2 linked regions of the Alligator mississippiensis genome follow. The protein of the gene in region 2 binds, or shares a complex with, the protein of the main gene of each other region. Links are inferred from orthologs where the notes say so. Each region holds a gene or a part of one and is shown on either strand. Other genes may lie near its edges.

Region 1 (7,451 bases), on a different chromosome or scaffold from region 2:
TTAAAAAAAAAAGTAATAAAGCTCATCTTAAAGTTCTCTACTAAGATAGTTTACACAGGTTATTATCACCTTGATGCTATACTTCAATGCATGGATCTTGAAAACTTATCCACGTGCTTCTGTGGAAATTTCTCCCAGCCATCAAAGCAGCAACAGGACATGCCTGGGCTAACATACAGAATGGCAAAGGGAGAGAATGAAAACTAACAAAATAAAGTTTTATGGTGGAAGGCTAGGACTGTGGGAACAAGTGTACATGGAAATGGAATAAGGATCTCTTTTGGTCATAGGAATTTGCATATCACTAGTGCCAGCAATGGGCTAAACATATCCAGTGTGCAAATGGCACCCTACATGCTGCTCATACAGAGGACTTAAATGGCAGATAGGCATGATGCTGACTGTTCAGACAGGGAAAGGGATTTCATCAGGTTAAAGTAATTCACCTCTGATAATACAGTGGAAACCGTGTTGCTAACAATGTTCACAGTTGCAGTTAGTTCTATCCCCTTGTACAGTGTGTACCAACCAGCACCAAAAATTATGAGAGAATGGAAAGGCATTAGTTACTTGGCTTAAGTTTTAGGCAAGGATGAACTACATTGCTGGGATCATACAAGAACGTGGGCAAATTTAATCCACTGCATGGCTAAGACTGCTGGAGTTTGATGTTAGTGATTTTTATTAATTTAGATTTAAGATGAAATGACTGTACACTGGGGAATCCCAGAGCATGCATGGAGCTGGAATGACCTTTGCAGGATTTGGTTCAACTCAATCCAGGATTGCAGGATCAAGTAGAAGCAAACAAAGGCCAAAGGAGTATTATCCTCACTGATTTAGTCTAATATTGTAACCCACAGTTCCATGCATTTAAAACAATTTTTGTCATTAGACTGGAAGAATGGTCACAGCTTTGTCCGAAAAGCAGTTCCGGGTTAAAAACAGAGCTAGCGCTGCACAAGTCAGATACAATAACTCATGGATAGTCACTCTCTGCACACTTAAGGTTTGCCAAACCGAAATCCTAACCAAAATCAAAAAACCATCCTTGGTGCTTGAAACTTAAGTTCCAAGTCTGAAGACAAATTCAGGAAGATTCTGTCTAATCAGAGGTTCAGTTGCAATAGTTTTCCAGGTTCTTCACTGGAAATACACCCTGAGCACAGTGGGGTTTCTTTTGTAGTCAGAAGGCAGAGATAAGGAAAGCAGAATTGTCAGCAGAAGAAAGGATGAGTGTTTCAGTTCTCATAGGCAGTAAGCTGTGGCAGAGATAGAGGCACCACAAGCATTTCCAGGTACAGGAATGATTTCTGGCTAAGCCATCAATTCACAGAGAAGTCATTTAAAAAAACAACTTTCCAGATGTCCCATATGGAGAAATCCAGCAGTCAACTTTCCCATTTGCTCTCTCAAGGTAAGTCAGGCTGAGGAGCACCAAGTGATGTGTAATTCACTCTCTACCTACCTCCTCTTGGGTGAAGTGTTCACTGCCTCAACCAGAAAGAGAGCTGGGAACAAAGCTGAGGAGAGAGGAAAACAGAGACTGACCCTTTCCCACTTCCATACACAATGGATAAGGAGGCTGAGGAACAGTACAAAACCTGGCTGTGGTGTAATCTGGGAACTGAACTCCTGTCACCTGTTTTCTCCTGTCAGCTATCACAAATGATAGCTGAAAAAAGAGCTTGCAATTTGGCCTGAAGGTAGATGAGGGATTTTCTACTATGTTAAAAAGTATTATTTGTAAATCCAGTGAGATTTAGTGTGCATTAAAGAGCATTTATTAAATGTACAGTTAAATGTAAAGGAGGTGCATCTCAGAGAAGGTCCCTCCTGTTACATAAGCATTTAACGAGTAGCTCCATAAATAGCTCTCATCAGCTGCACTTGACTTTCTTCCTGCCTCAGTTACTAACAGCAGCTAAGAACAGGAAGTAATTAACGGCAGTACGATAAGCATCACCTTCTTAGCCATCCTGTTCAGACACTGGTGCTAACCAGCTCATTCAGAGCAAGTCAGATGGGAGATGAACAAACCGAAACCTTTTCCTTGCCATTGAGCTCACTGGGCCCGCTGCTCTCCCACAGCAGCTCCCAGTTATGCCAAGTGGCAGCACTCAATATGTGTATCGCTACAGCTAGAGGAGACCCCTGGTTAGCACCATGCTCCGTCCGCAGCCGGCAAGGACAGAGGCCTTCTGCTTTTGAGGAACGAAACTCATTAGTCCAAAGGTCTCAAATTGCAAATGCCCGCCTGCCCAACTTGTCCCAATCAGCCCAAGTGACAGCACCCCCTGCCCTCCCACCAGGGCACCTCTGCCCCCAGCCACCTCCCGTTACCCCTGCTCATCCAGAGCCTCCTGACAGCACCTCTTTACTGCCAACGCTGCAGAGAGCAGAAACAGGACGGCGGGAGACGGGAAGGAGCAACTGCCTGAAGCGGCAGCCGGGGACATGGAGGTTGGAGACACGGGGGGGACCTGGCGACCCCGTTGCTCAAACTGAAGCTGGCAAGAAACCAGCGAGGGAACTGCTGCGCGTTTCCAAGCAGTACGTGGCGACCTGGCCAGTTCTTTGGATAGCTGGGCAGCCACATTTTAGGCACGTGGCGATGACTCGGCACAGTCTACATTTATGGTGCAACTCGTGGGCGATCCCCCCCGCACCTGCGGTTGGACTACGTTTGTGGCATGACTGGCGGGCGGGCGGCCCCTCTGCACCTGTGCTCAGTCCGCACGTATGGCTCGATTCACCAGCCAAGGCGGCGGCGATTCCTTGGCCTGACGAGTGCGCAATACATGTAACGTGTGGCAAGGCTGGGGCGGCGCCGAGGGGGCCAGGACCCGCCGCCCCAACCCCCCGCGCTCACCGGCCGCGTGGTGCCCGTACAGCAGCTGCTCCAGCACAGCTGTCTTGCCCACGGCGGCCGCGCCGCTCACCACCACCTTGTAACCCTTCCCCATGCCCGGGCCGCGCGGGGCGCACCGGGAGGCGGAAGGTGGAGGCGGCCCCCGCCGAACTACACTTCCCAGCAGGCCCCGGGGCGGGGCAGCCCCCCCCCCCGTACTACATTTCCAAGCAGGCCCCGGGCTGGGGCGGGCGGAGGACTACATTTTCCAGCAGCCCCTGGGGCGCGGCGCCGGAAGGGAGGCGGGGCCACAAAGGGTTGTGGGAGCGCGGCTTCTTCCTTTCCGGCTTCGGGCGCCATCAGGTGAGGATCAGGCCGGTCCCGGCTGCTGCCTCTATCCGCCGCCATCACCGCCTCCGAGTGTGGGGCAGGCCCCGGCGCGGCTCCGGCCCGGCTCGGCCCGCGGCTCTCGGCGCGGCCTGGCGGGGGTGCTGGCGCCGGGCCCGCCGGGCTGGGGCGAGCGGGAGTCGAGTCGGGGAGGGCCCGGGGCGGCCTGTGTCCTTGCACCAGCGCGGAGGCGCCCAGCGGCCCTGGGTGCCAGCCGAGGGAAAGCTCTTCGCGGTGCAGGAGTTAAGTCAGGCCTCTGGGGAGGAAGCTGCTGAGAGGCGGTGACTTCCCCGAAGCTTTTCCCTAAACTCACTGGCAGATCCGCTGCATTCTGGGTGAAGCCGCTATTTGGCATGTGGCAGTAGCTAGGGTGTGCCAGGCATCCTCACGGAAAAGCAGTTTCTCTCTCAGGAGTTCAGCATGCATAAAAGCAGGGAGAGAGGCGAGCAGGCATTTGCGGTGTGGCGGCTGCCCTGCGTTTAAGCCCCTTGCGTTTCAGTTTGGTGCAGCCTGTTACACGATGTCCCCTTTGCACGTGGGTTTCCTGCGGGAGAGTCTCAAAGGGGGATAAAGGCTTGATTGCAAACTTACACAGATCTCTGATTAAACAGGTAAACAAGCATGGGCGCTTACAAGTACATCCAAGAGCTATGGAGGAAGAAGCAGTCAGATGTGATGCGTTTCCTTTTGCGTGTCCGCTGTTGGCAGTACCGCCAGTTGTCTGCCCTGCATCGAGCTCCCAGACCTACCCGGCCAGACAGAGCCCGTAGGCTGGGATACAAAGCCAAGCAAGGTAACTAGGCCTGAAGAGGTTTGCAGCTGACGCTTTAGCACTGGGGTGTGTCGCCACGGTACTTGTTAGAGTCTTTCCTAACTGAGCAGTAAGGGGTATGTGTAACTGGCAGCATGCTAGGTGTGTATGCTCTTTGGTAAGAGTTGAAAAACACCATGAAAAGTTGGGTTACAGGTAGTAACATAGCAATACAGCTGTCTACAGAAAAAGGATAGTGCTATAATTCATGCTTAATTAGCATCTAAGGAAATAATTTTGGCAAAACTGGATAATTAAGTATCTAGATAAGTAAGTTACAGAGACTGAATTCTCCTTGTTCTTGGAGATTTGAACTTCTCTCGTTTTCCTCTGCAAAGTTGGAGGTTATTATCCCAGATGAGAGCGGATCCAGGAGCTGGCACATGCTGTAAGCCACAACATCTAGCTGGGTGGAAAGTCCCCTTAAGCAAAGATGAGTGTGGACCAGAGAGGCATTCTCATGTGAAATGCCTGGCTAAGAATCCAAGCTGACTCCAGTGAAGATAAAATAATAATATCTTCAGAGGTGGACAGGACTGAGATGTGTTTGCAAAGCGCTGTGGAAAAAGACTGTCAGCTTGCAATCCTGGAAGCATTTTCGCACTTAAAAAATGAAAACAAGACCAAAAACTCTACTTAACCTTTCTAGTTTCTAATAGCTACGAAGTTCTCCAATCTGCACTCATGTTTTACTATCGGCTTAAATAATTTTTATAATTGGAAAATTATATTGTCAACAGCCCACATGTAAACTCACTTACACCAGTATTAAGGTGTGTTGTACCATATAGCTTATTTTGGTTTGGGCACTGAAGTGACCTGTGTTGTATAATGCAGTGACATACACATGGGGGGAATTTGGCTGTTTTAAGTGTTACCGTATAAAGCAGGAGCACTTCACCAAATTTTCCAGTACAAGGTTTATCTACGTTGAAGATGCTCATGAAAGCAGCTTCCACAGTAAGAGTGGAACTAGAAGTCCTGAGGGGAAAAATATTAATGTGAGGGGAAAATAAAGTCACGGTAATTGATACTTAATGAAATTCAGAAGTCTCATAATCTTTAACAAGTAACGTTTTTAAAAACACACTTTTTTTTTTAAGGTTACGTGATTTACCGTATTCGTGTTCGTCGTGGCGGTCGTAAACGCCCAGTCCCAAAGGGTGCAACATACGGTAAACCTGTGCATCATGGTGTTAATCAGCTGAAGTTTGCCCGTAGCCTGCAGTCTGTAGCAGAGGTAAGTGCCTTTCTCCAGTAGAAAGTTTTCTGCAAGTCTTGTTCTACTGATGGAGGGCACTATTCAGAACCACAGAATTCCTTTGGGAACCTAAAGGTTAGGACTACTGACACTAACAAGGCACTTGTGAGACCTTCGTACCCATGTACCTCAAGGGGCTTATTAAACTAAGTAAATGGTATTCTTGTATGTTTGGGGAAACTAGTGTGCAGAGTTCAAGTGACTTGGTAAAGTTAGTGCTCCAGGCTAATTGGACTAGGAGTATGACTTGTCATTCAGTTTTATGTTCTGATGCATTTTCATTGGTTGCAGAGACATAGTAGAACAGACCATACATGGTATTAGCCTTTTTTTATTTTATTTTTTTACAGAAGTGTTGATAGCAAAAGTTAGGCTTCGGACTCTGTGTAATTCATGACTTTACTGATCATTTTGCTTTATGTAATCCAGTATCAGAGTCTTGATTTAATTTTTTAAACTTTATATGCTGCTATATTCTTAATCTTAATTCCTTGGCAGAGAATTGCAATTGACTTGTCTCTGCGTTCAGGACTTGCCAAGAAGTAAAATTAACCATATGAAATTAAAATCATTCTAATTAGTTTAATCCAACGACACAAAGGTATCTTTGGGAAATAGAGAATCTCAGAGTACAGGAAAACGCAAATAGGCTGAAAAATCTATCCTTAAATCTAGGCCTTACAAACCACTCTTCCCCTTTGTTAGTATTTCCTGCTGTTGTCAGATATGTCTAGAAAGTAGTTTGGGGCAGGAGCTCTTTCCATGTTCCATGAAAGGGGGGGGGAAAAAATCACAAGGGCTTCTACTAGAGGTAGAAGAAGCATTTCTGCTTATTGTATGTTCTTGGCATGCCCTCTATGTAACAGGCATGACTGAGGTGTGACATCTGTACAACCACTTTTTCAAAATCAGCTTTAACTCCACATTCTGTAAGGTAACTGATGAGAAGGGACAGCTGCCTTTCTGTAGTGAGGTCATGCCAGCAAATAATAAAATACCCTTTTAGATGCAAGGAGCCTAGTGCTTTCCCCCTTTCCACTGTTTGGCTGATGCTAGACCTGTAGTTTCTCTAGGGGACTATGCGTTTTTCCTGATTTGTAGGCTGTGGTTTTTGTGTGTGTTTGTTTTTTTTAAAGGAGATTTTCTAGGCCAGAAAAAAAAATACTGTTGTGTTTTGTTTGTAGTCTGGGAAATATTTCTGAGCATGAAGTAGATTTTTTTTTTTTTTATTGGACTTCACATAATAACATGTTCTTTCCAAAATGCAAGCCTGTTCTCATTTTCAACTCATTGTTCTCAGATACTTTAAATGCTGGTCAGATTGGTGATTCCTTTGAGCAAAGGATGTGTTAACATTGAGATACTGAAACTGGTAGACAAAAAAAGCTTTTCTTTTTAGAGCAAGTAAATGTTTAATTTTTTTTTTTTTTAAGGTAAGCTCTTGGCCTTTCTTCCACAAGGCACCATAATTCTGATCGCTTTTAGAGGCTGTCCAGTTGTTTTTTTTTCCCCCCCACTTGTCTCAGGCACTAGTTTAATTTACTTCAGTTTTGTACATTTCTTGGCATAGACCATTTGTTCCGTTTTCCATTACCAAGGTTTTATCTATTGTTCTAACTTCTTATATATGTGGTAAGGGCGTGACTTGTATTTGTTGTAAACTGAGTGCCTTTTATTGCTATCTTGTCTTGGGAAAACCAAAATCTGAATACTTTTTTTAGTTCTGTTTATATTAGTAATGCTAGGTCTCCACTTGACGGAGGACTGTAGAAATGGAGTGGGATGATTTTGAAGACCATATCATTGATCTTCTGGCCTGTAGAATAGTCTCCCAAAGTAATGACAGGATTGCTTTGGTTTGGCATGCTTGCTCATGTTTAGTTTTAAAAGGAAAGTCAAATAGAGAATGATTCTGTGCTGTAAAAGAGCTTGGGGAAATCTTATGTGACCCAGTAAGTTTCTTCTACTTTTTTGTTTGAACCGGTGCTCCAGCTCTTTCAGTCCTATATTAAATGAGAGGACCTTGTACTCTAAACAGAGAAGGCATCAGACAACCATGGGAGTTTGGAAAATGGAGAAAGATTTATTAAATGCCAGTTTATTCCCTATAGTGCATTTTGTGTATCTTCTGGTAAAGCAGT
Region 2 (7,621 bases):
AAAAAAAGCACATTCCAAAGCATATATACAAAAACACCAATTCTATTTAAAATATCAGTTAAATGATAACGCAGTTTCTTATCACACACAGACTCAAACACTGGAAATAAAGAAAAAAGGTCGTCATAAAGCCTGCATTGCACATAAGGATTTATTAAGTATAAAGAAATGCATGTTTTATAATTTAAAAAAATCTTAAGTTTGAGCCACAGTAAGAAACTGGTATCCTTTCACTAATAAACTCACATGGTAAAATCGGGAGGGGGGGGTGTTAAGAGAGTTTTTATATTTGCCATTCTTAACATGCAGTTTTCCAAACAGAAATGCTTTTACTATAAATCACTTATGTTACACACTTACTATTAAATCACATTCATCCTAAAACACGTAAATTATAAATACATTACCAAAATGCCAGTGTCAATGAATAAATACTAACTGATACTAGTCCCCATTTAACAATAGTCCTTAAAAATGTACTGAACCAAGATAATAAAAATTCTTTAAAAAGAGCAATCTGCATATTGGACCTAGGGCTGTTGCACTGTGATGAGATTTCATTAGATTGATAAGCACACGTTTGCAGTACATAGTATATTTTATGTTTCATGATTTATTTCTTGCCTTATACGCTTGGATTTTGTAAATTAGGCAATTAATAAGGTAGTTATTTTCTTAGCAGTCTTTAACTTTTTTTTTATTTGTAGAAGCTTTTATTTGCTATGACATTTTTAATCTAAAAGCAACCTTTTGAAGTTATTTTGGTGCCTATAAAGTGGAACTAGTCCCCCTGTAACATCTGCATATTTTATGAACCCAGATGCCAAAATGCATTCTTAGATAGTCTCAGTTGATTATTGAAATATAACCAACGAATGATTAAACAAACAAACAGTTTGGGAGAATGTGGTTAATTTGTGTTGCATCTTTAATACTACCAGCCATGCACACAGTGGAACAAAGAAGACATCTAGAATTTACAGAAAGTCATGAGGCAATGTGTGCATTTTGATAAAATCTTATTTCAGAGAAGGAAATAAGTAATGGTCTGTAAATGGTTTTTTATCACGAACTTCTTTGTGGTATAGCTTGATTATGTACAAGAGGAGTTTTTTGGCATGCCCTATCCAAAACAAGGGAGGGGAAGGAGTTTGGGAGGTGTTTTTTGGTTCTTTAATTGTCTGGGGAACAGAAACCTTCAGCTCATTCTCTAGTAAACTCCATCTGAACTCAATTAATACACTTTTCATACAGTGAAGTAGCATATGAATAATATTTCATTAAAATGCTGCTACTATCATTTAAATAATGGAATGACATTTCACTTCAACCAAATAAAATCTCGTTAAATTTCCTGGAATATCCTGCAAGACCTTACCCTTCCTTTTCCATGCTTTTTAATGCCTGTTTATCATTACAGTTACACATCCTAAACATTGATTTTGCAAAGTGGCCCTGTCCTTTTATCCTAATGGAATTCAAGATATTTTCTTAAATTCATGTAAGAGACATTAATCCTAACAGCTTTAGTCAGACCAGATCTACTCATGTATGAGGTCATTTAACTTATACAGAAGCATCAACAACTGAACAGGAGGCAGGGCGGTACTAACTCTCCTTAACCTTTGTCCTAAACCTCAGGGCATGCTAGTCAATTGAGTTTCTTTATTTCTGGGCGGTTTTTTAAAAGAAGTTCCTTCTAGTTAAATGTCTCAAGTTGCAGCAAGGGAAGTTTAGGTTAGATACAGTATTGGAAAAAACTCTCTCACTAGGAGGATGGTAAAACACTGGAACAGGTTACCCAGGGACGTGGTTGAGTCTCTATCCTTGGAGGTTTTTGAGACCCAGCTACACAAAGCTTTGGCTGGGATGATCTAGTTGGGGATGGTCCTGATATGAACAGGAGGTTGAACAAGATCAGTGTTTCTCAACCCATAGGTCGCAAGAATATCTGAGAGGGTCATGAGCAAACTTTAAAAATGGATCAACAAACTTTAAAAATGGATTCTCCTTTAAAGGAGAAAAAGGTGGGAAATCGCCAGCCTGCAAGGGGCTGCTTGGAGCCCACACTGTGGGGTGGGGGGCAGCAGGTCAGAAGCGAGGGGCACTGGGTTGGGATGAGCCATTGACATTTCCAAATGAGTCCTGGTCCAAAAAAGGTGGAGAACCACTGGATGACCTCCAATGGTCCCTTCCAACCAGCGTTCCCTCCAAGCTGTGCAGCCATGCAGGCGCACCTGGCAGCATGGCATAAGCTTGCCTGTGCAGCCGCGCACGCCACGCAGCTTAGAGGGAACGCTGTGTCCAACCCTCATTTTTTATGACTCTGAATCCCCCACAAGAGACTGGATTGCAGACACTTTGGATAACAAAACCAGGCGCGAACTGGTGCACAGGAAACACCCAGTCATTCCAAACAAGACCAGACACAGGCATGGGCCAACAGGGTGCCCCAGACAGAAAGGAGGCCAGAAAATGGTCATTATTATTACTATTATTATCATTCTCTCTGGCGAACGGGGGCCTGATACTACAAGTTCGTCCTGGGCCACCTGGAGTCAAGGAACAGCGCCGATTCCAAGGGTGGCAACTACTGATTTGAAGAGCCCGTTGTCAAGCAGGTTTTCAAACTCTTCTCCCCCTTCCACTGACAGAAAGATGTCTGTGCCCCGCTCTGTCTACCCGGGGCCTCTCCCGCAAGGCTCAAACCCAGGCGCACTCGGCACTGCCCACCCGAGACACCCAGCCCCTCCAGGCCCGTGCCCCGCGGAGGAGGCGGCGGGCAGTGCCCGGGGCTCACCCAGCACGGCGCGGAGGTGCTTGAGGCGGGTCAGCACGTCCTTCTTCGGGTCCAGCGCTTTCTGTGTAGATTTCTTGACATCCGCATGGCCCTTGCGGGAGAACATCCCCGGGGCCGGGGCGCCCGGCTGCAGCGGGGGGCGGCGGATGCGGGACAAGGGGTGGGGGGATGGCACAGACCCCCTGGCTTTGCAGGGGGCAGTCCCTGCGCGGCGGCTCCGGCTCCTGCTGCCGCTCCAGCTCCGGAGTGGGCGTGTAAACACGGAACTGGCGCCGCCGCGCTTCCCCGACTGCGCAGCCGCCCGAGCCCGCCCCTGCAGCGCCTGCCGGCCCGCTCCCCCGAGTAGGGCGTCCGCCGGGTCACACGGGGCTGGGAACGGGGCCGGAGCCTGCCGCCTCTCTGCCCACCACCCCGACACCCCCGGGCGCGGCCCCTCTCAGTGGGCGCCGGGACTACATCCCCCGGCATGCAGAGCGGCGGGACGCGCGCCGCCAGCTGCCGTGGGGGCGCGCTGCATACTGGGAGTTGTAGGCGCCGCGGGACGGGGAGTGCCCGGGTCTTTGTGCCGCGGGGAGTCTTGCACCCCCTACCAGCACCGTGGGCTGTGGTGTGTCCCATGGGACCCCCATGACCTCCCGTTCTTCCCCCTCACCCCTAATTACAGGCAGCAGGGGGAGGGGTGTAGTGGCCTGCAGGTGCCCTGTACCCCACCCCAGGAATAGGGTTGTTGGGGCACATTTACACGTGCACATTAGCCTATTTTAATGGGCGTTAAAACCTCGCTAAAAAAACCCTGTACTCTTCCGTTAATGTGCATTAGACAGGCTAATGTGCATTTTCCTAGTACCTTACAGTGGAGGTACTAGACTTAATGCTAGGGTGGCCATCATGAGGACAGTCCGGTTGTCTTCTTGATATGAAACCAGATGCCTTTATGTCCTGTATTTTTCTCTTCTCTTCCTCCTCCCTCCCACACCTGCTACAGCGCTACCCAAGGGCAGGTCTACATGTGTGTTAACGGACATTAGTTAATGCACATTAAGTCTCGTACCTCAAGTGTTAGGGAGCCCTGCTCGGGGCTCTTTCCATGGGCGCCTGCTCCATGCGCTGCCATCACAAAGATGGGCTGCTCCCCTTTGGCACTAGCTGGAGTAGCTCTTTTCTTCAAAAGAAAAACAGAGGACATAAAGGCATCTGGTTTCGTATCAACAGAGGACCAAGTAGCAGAAAACTGGAATGTCCTCTATGATGGCCACCCTACTTAATGCACATTAACTAAAGTGCATTAATGCACATGTAGACATGCGCCAAGGGTAGTGCCGTAGGAACAAAGTTTGGTGCCCAGGGCCCACCCTCACCCCACACACAGATCTGGGGGGCACCCCCCCCATGCTTACCTGGAAGTGCACACAGCGGCAGGAACCACCCTCCCAGCATTTCCATGCCCCCACACAAATGAACTGCTGTCCCACACCCTGCCCCAGCTGGGCAGCTCCTGTTGATGCTCCTTCACTTTGGCACTTGGAGTGGCCCCCGCACCTGCTACAGGACTGCCCAAGGGTGTGTCTATATGTGCATTAATGCACATTAGTTAATGTGCTTTAAGTCTAATACCTCGAGTGTAGGGAGCCCTGCTCAGGGCTCTCTCCATGAGCACCTGCTCCGTGGCCTGCCATCACGGAGATGGACTGCTCCCCTTTGGCACTGGCTGGAGTAGCTCTGCCTGAGCAATGCCTGTGGTAGGTGGCTGCACTAAGACCCCCTGGGGCAGCTTATCTGTGAGCACTGAACCTAAGATGTTCATATTTAAAAGCATGAGCCTCCCTTGCTTGAGTCACAATGCTAGGCCATTGGCAGAGTGGGAGTAGGGGCTCCTAAACCCCTCTGTACCACCTGCTCCAGCCACAAGAGGAGAGCACAACAATATGTTGCCCTGACATTGTGATGGAGCCACCAGGCTTTGTGTGTGCTTCCCATGACCCATGGCCCCATGCTTTACTTGAATGTTTCTCAACCATCTCCTTTTGGTAGCAAAGTAAAAAAGAAAATGTTCGTGACTTCCTTATTCTTACTCCAAGAATAAAAAACAGAACAAAACAATGTCAGGTAACAGCAGTCAAACTAGGATATGCCTACAAAATTTCTGTGTATCTAGAAGTTGGCAAAGAACAGTTGACCTTGATGGGTTTAGAGGGTTGGAGTTTTTCTTTTGTTTTACACTGGAATAAAATTTGTGTTGTTGTTCAGCCTCCCTCAGGGTCCTAAACAGCCAATTGGGAAATGCTGGTCTAATTAATGAAGCCAAAAAGTATTAATAAAGATGAGCATGCCCCAGGGCTACATTGTAGAATTCTGTATGCTGCAGCTGTGCTACCATTGTCACAGGGACCTCCTCAGAAGGGTGTTTTATGTCCACTCTGCTCCAAAGCACACATTTTCTTGCAAAAAATGAGTGTTTGTGCTCATAATTCCCATATGTGAACAAATTACTTTGTAGGTGCGACCTAACTATTCATCTTTGAAAACCCAGCCTTATGTCAGACCTTTTGGAAACCAACTGGCAAACATTCAAACTAAGCCTAATAAGGCTATAGGGATCATTATATATACATTATATAATAAATTATACTGTATCTGCGACTGGAATTAGGATCACCATTTGGAATTTACACATAACTCATTGGCTAGAGTAAATTCACTCAAGCTTTCAGTGACTGCTTCCACTAAAATGCATAAATAATACACTATGTTTTAGTATTTTACAAAGCAGAATTTGGTCCAAAATTCCAGCTCAGAATATTTTACAACCTAAGTCTCCGTTAATGAGACTCCTGAGCAGAGGTGTTAACATTGATAGACTCCAATGCAAGAACAAGGTTGTTGGTTGTAGCTGTGTTGCTCTGACATAGGCAGACAAAGTTCTTTGGATAGATGTGATATCTTTTATTAGACCAACTAAATAGTATGAAAAATGTTCTTTGCAAGCTTTCAGGCACAAACACCCTTCTTCAGGCATTGGAGAGAGTCTGCTGTTGGTTTGGGTGCTCTCCTGGGTAGATTACAAGCCAATATGCAAAAATGCATTTTCACAGACCTACATTTTTGCATATTGGCTTCCAATCTACCCAGGAGAGCACCCAAACCAACAAGAGACTCTCTCCAATGCCTGAAGAAGGGTGCTTGCAAAGAACAATTTTCCAACTAGTTAGTTGCTCTAATAAAAGATATAACATCTACTCAATGCAGGAACAAAGCTTTTAAAAGATACCACTAGGTCCTCCTATACAAGCAAATGCAAATCAACACCTTCCTTTTTCATATTACTAAACTATGAATCACAGGACAGAATTGGAGCAATAAAATGTGATTTACTGGGGTCCTAAGCACATAATCCTGAGCTGCTCTAAGGCTCTTCCAAGACAAAGAGCCTGAGACTGGTGCTGGGAGATATAATTCAATATGCTGTAACCCTTACTCATTGCCAAATTGCCAAGATGTGGTACACACCCAGTGGTAATCAATGGGCACAGTTTTCTTCTTGGCAGAAGACCAAAGCTCAGCAAGGAGGAAAGGTTGAATTTTAACCACATTTCTCTGGAAATCCTTCCCTGTCCTACCATGGAGCCTCACCTCCAGTCCCATATGTGCCGAATTTCAACATTTTTGGTTTCCATTCCAAACCAGAATGAAAACCAAAGTTCAAAAAACCAAAGTTCAAACCCTCCAGGAAACAAAGGACTTTTTTCACCTGGTTATACTGCACCAGTTTAATTGAATTGTCTTTAAATTAATTAAACCAGTGCAGCATTCTCATACCCACTCAGTTCTTTCTCTGCCCCAAACTCTGCAGTGCTTCTTTCATTGTGGATGGACATGGAGGCATGGGGATGTTGAGAAAAATCTCTGCTCTTCTCACTTCCCCACAACCACTTTTGTAAAGGGCAGTGGCAGTACCAGAGTGAGTCCCTGCTCATTCTTCCACAAATCCCACCCCAATGCCTGTTTTTTTCCTCCCTGGGGCTGAGGAAATTGCCTTAGCAATTCTCCTGTTGTCTGATCCTTTCTTTTCAGACTTCTTTTGCTGCCTGTCACTGGGGTTCCTTCCTACTTTTCCTCCCCTGTGTAAAAGTAGGAGCCCAAAGAGAAGGGGTTGGCAATTATTTGGGCCTGAGAGCCACATAGGGAGTTTTGGTGAGCTGTCGCAGGTCAAGTCAACATACCTCTCCCCCACCCCACCAATGCAACAGCTCACCCAAACTCCTTAAGTGGCTCTGCTCTCTGCTTGGCCATGTGGCTGGGATGGGGCCATGGCAGGGCAGGAGTGGGAAAGCAGGTGGGGCTGGGATCATGGGGAGATGACTGCTCAACAGAACCAGCACCTGTCTCAGGGGCATGCAGGTAGTGGATTGCAGATCTGCCCCAGCCCTGGCCCCATGCTGTCACTGCCCTACTATCCCAGGATCATCATGGAGACCTTACCCGTGTGGCTGGAAACTGCACAAGTAAGGCACGTGGCTGGGCAGATGGGATGGGGCTGCAGGCGGGTGGGAAGCTGCGTCCAGGGCCAGGATTTTGGGGCAGTGATTATGAGGGGCCGGAGCAGAGCCATGATCCACTCCCCGTATACCCTTGCCCATGGAATCCATGCCTGTCACAGGGGCATGTAGGGAGGGGATTGTGGCTCTGCCCTGGGCCTCAGCTCCATGCTGTCACTACCCCAAGATCCCACCCTGGGATCCCAGTCTCACCTGCCCATCCCTCTCCCAAACACTGCTCCTCATCCACCCACCTGTCTGTAGCCCCATCCCATCTGCCTGGCTG

The links.
Region 1: the proteins of RALGAPA2 (region 2) and NKIRAS1 are in contact, whole or in part, in a crystal structure (PDB 9QU1), measured with the Homo sapiens proteins. The link is inferred for Alligator mississippiensis from reciprocal best matches to the Homo sapiens genes RALGAPA2 and NKIRAS1. Residues at the interface, in NP_065076.2 of Homo sapiens: Pro20, Lys21, Tyr51, Ser52, Gln53, Phe56, Tyr59, Glu60, Ile63, Arg99, Phe102, Arg103, Trp104, His105, Tyr106, Gln107, Ser108, Lys185, Ile186, Tyr187, Pro188, Glu189; in NP_001364280.1 of Homo sapiens: Lys6, Glu22, Leu24, Leu25, Tyr26, Glu34, Met39, Glu40, Asp41, Val42, Tyr43, Met44, Ala45, Ser46, Val47, Glu48, Lys54, Gln56, His58, Tyr60, His74, Tyr75, Ser77, Phe78, Lys108, Thr162.

The regions. Positions count from the first base shown.
Region 1 is NC_081828.1:147,991,575-147,999,025, reverse strand, and holds the start of NKIRAS1 (NF-kappa-B inhibitor-interacting Ras-like protein 1), read right to left. Parts: upstream 3,013-7,451; 5' UTR 2,967-3,012; coding exon 2,873-2,966; intron 1-2,872. Other genes in the region: RPL15 (large ribosomal subunit protein eL15), read left to right, coding at 3,860-4,031, 5,153-5,289. UniProt on the Homo sapiens protein: Atypical Ras-like protein that acts as a potent regulator of NF-kappa-B activity by preventing the degradation of NF-kappa-B inhibitor beta (NFKBIB) by most signals, explaining why NFKBIB is more resistant to degradation.
Region 2 is NC_081824.1:229,068,813-229,076,433, reverse strand, and holds the start of RALGAPA2 (ral GTPase-activating protein subunit alpha-2), read right to left. Parts: upstream 3,070-7,621; 5' UTR 2,907-3,069; coding exon 2,801-2,906; intron 1-2,800.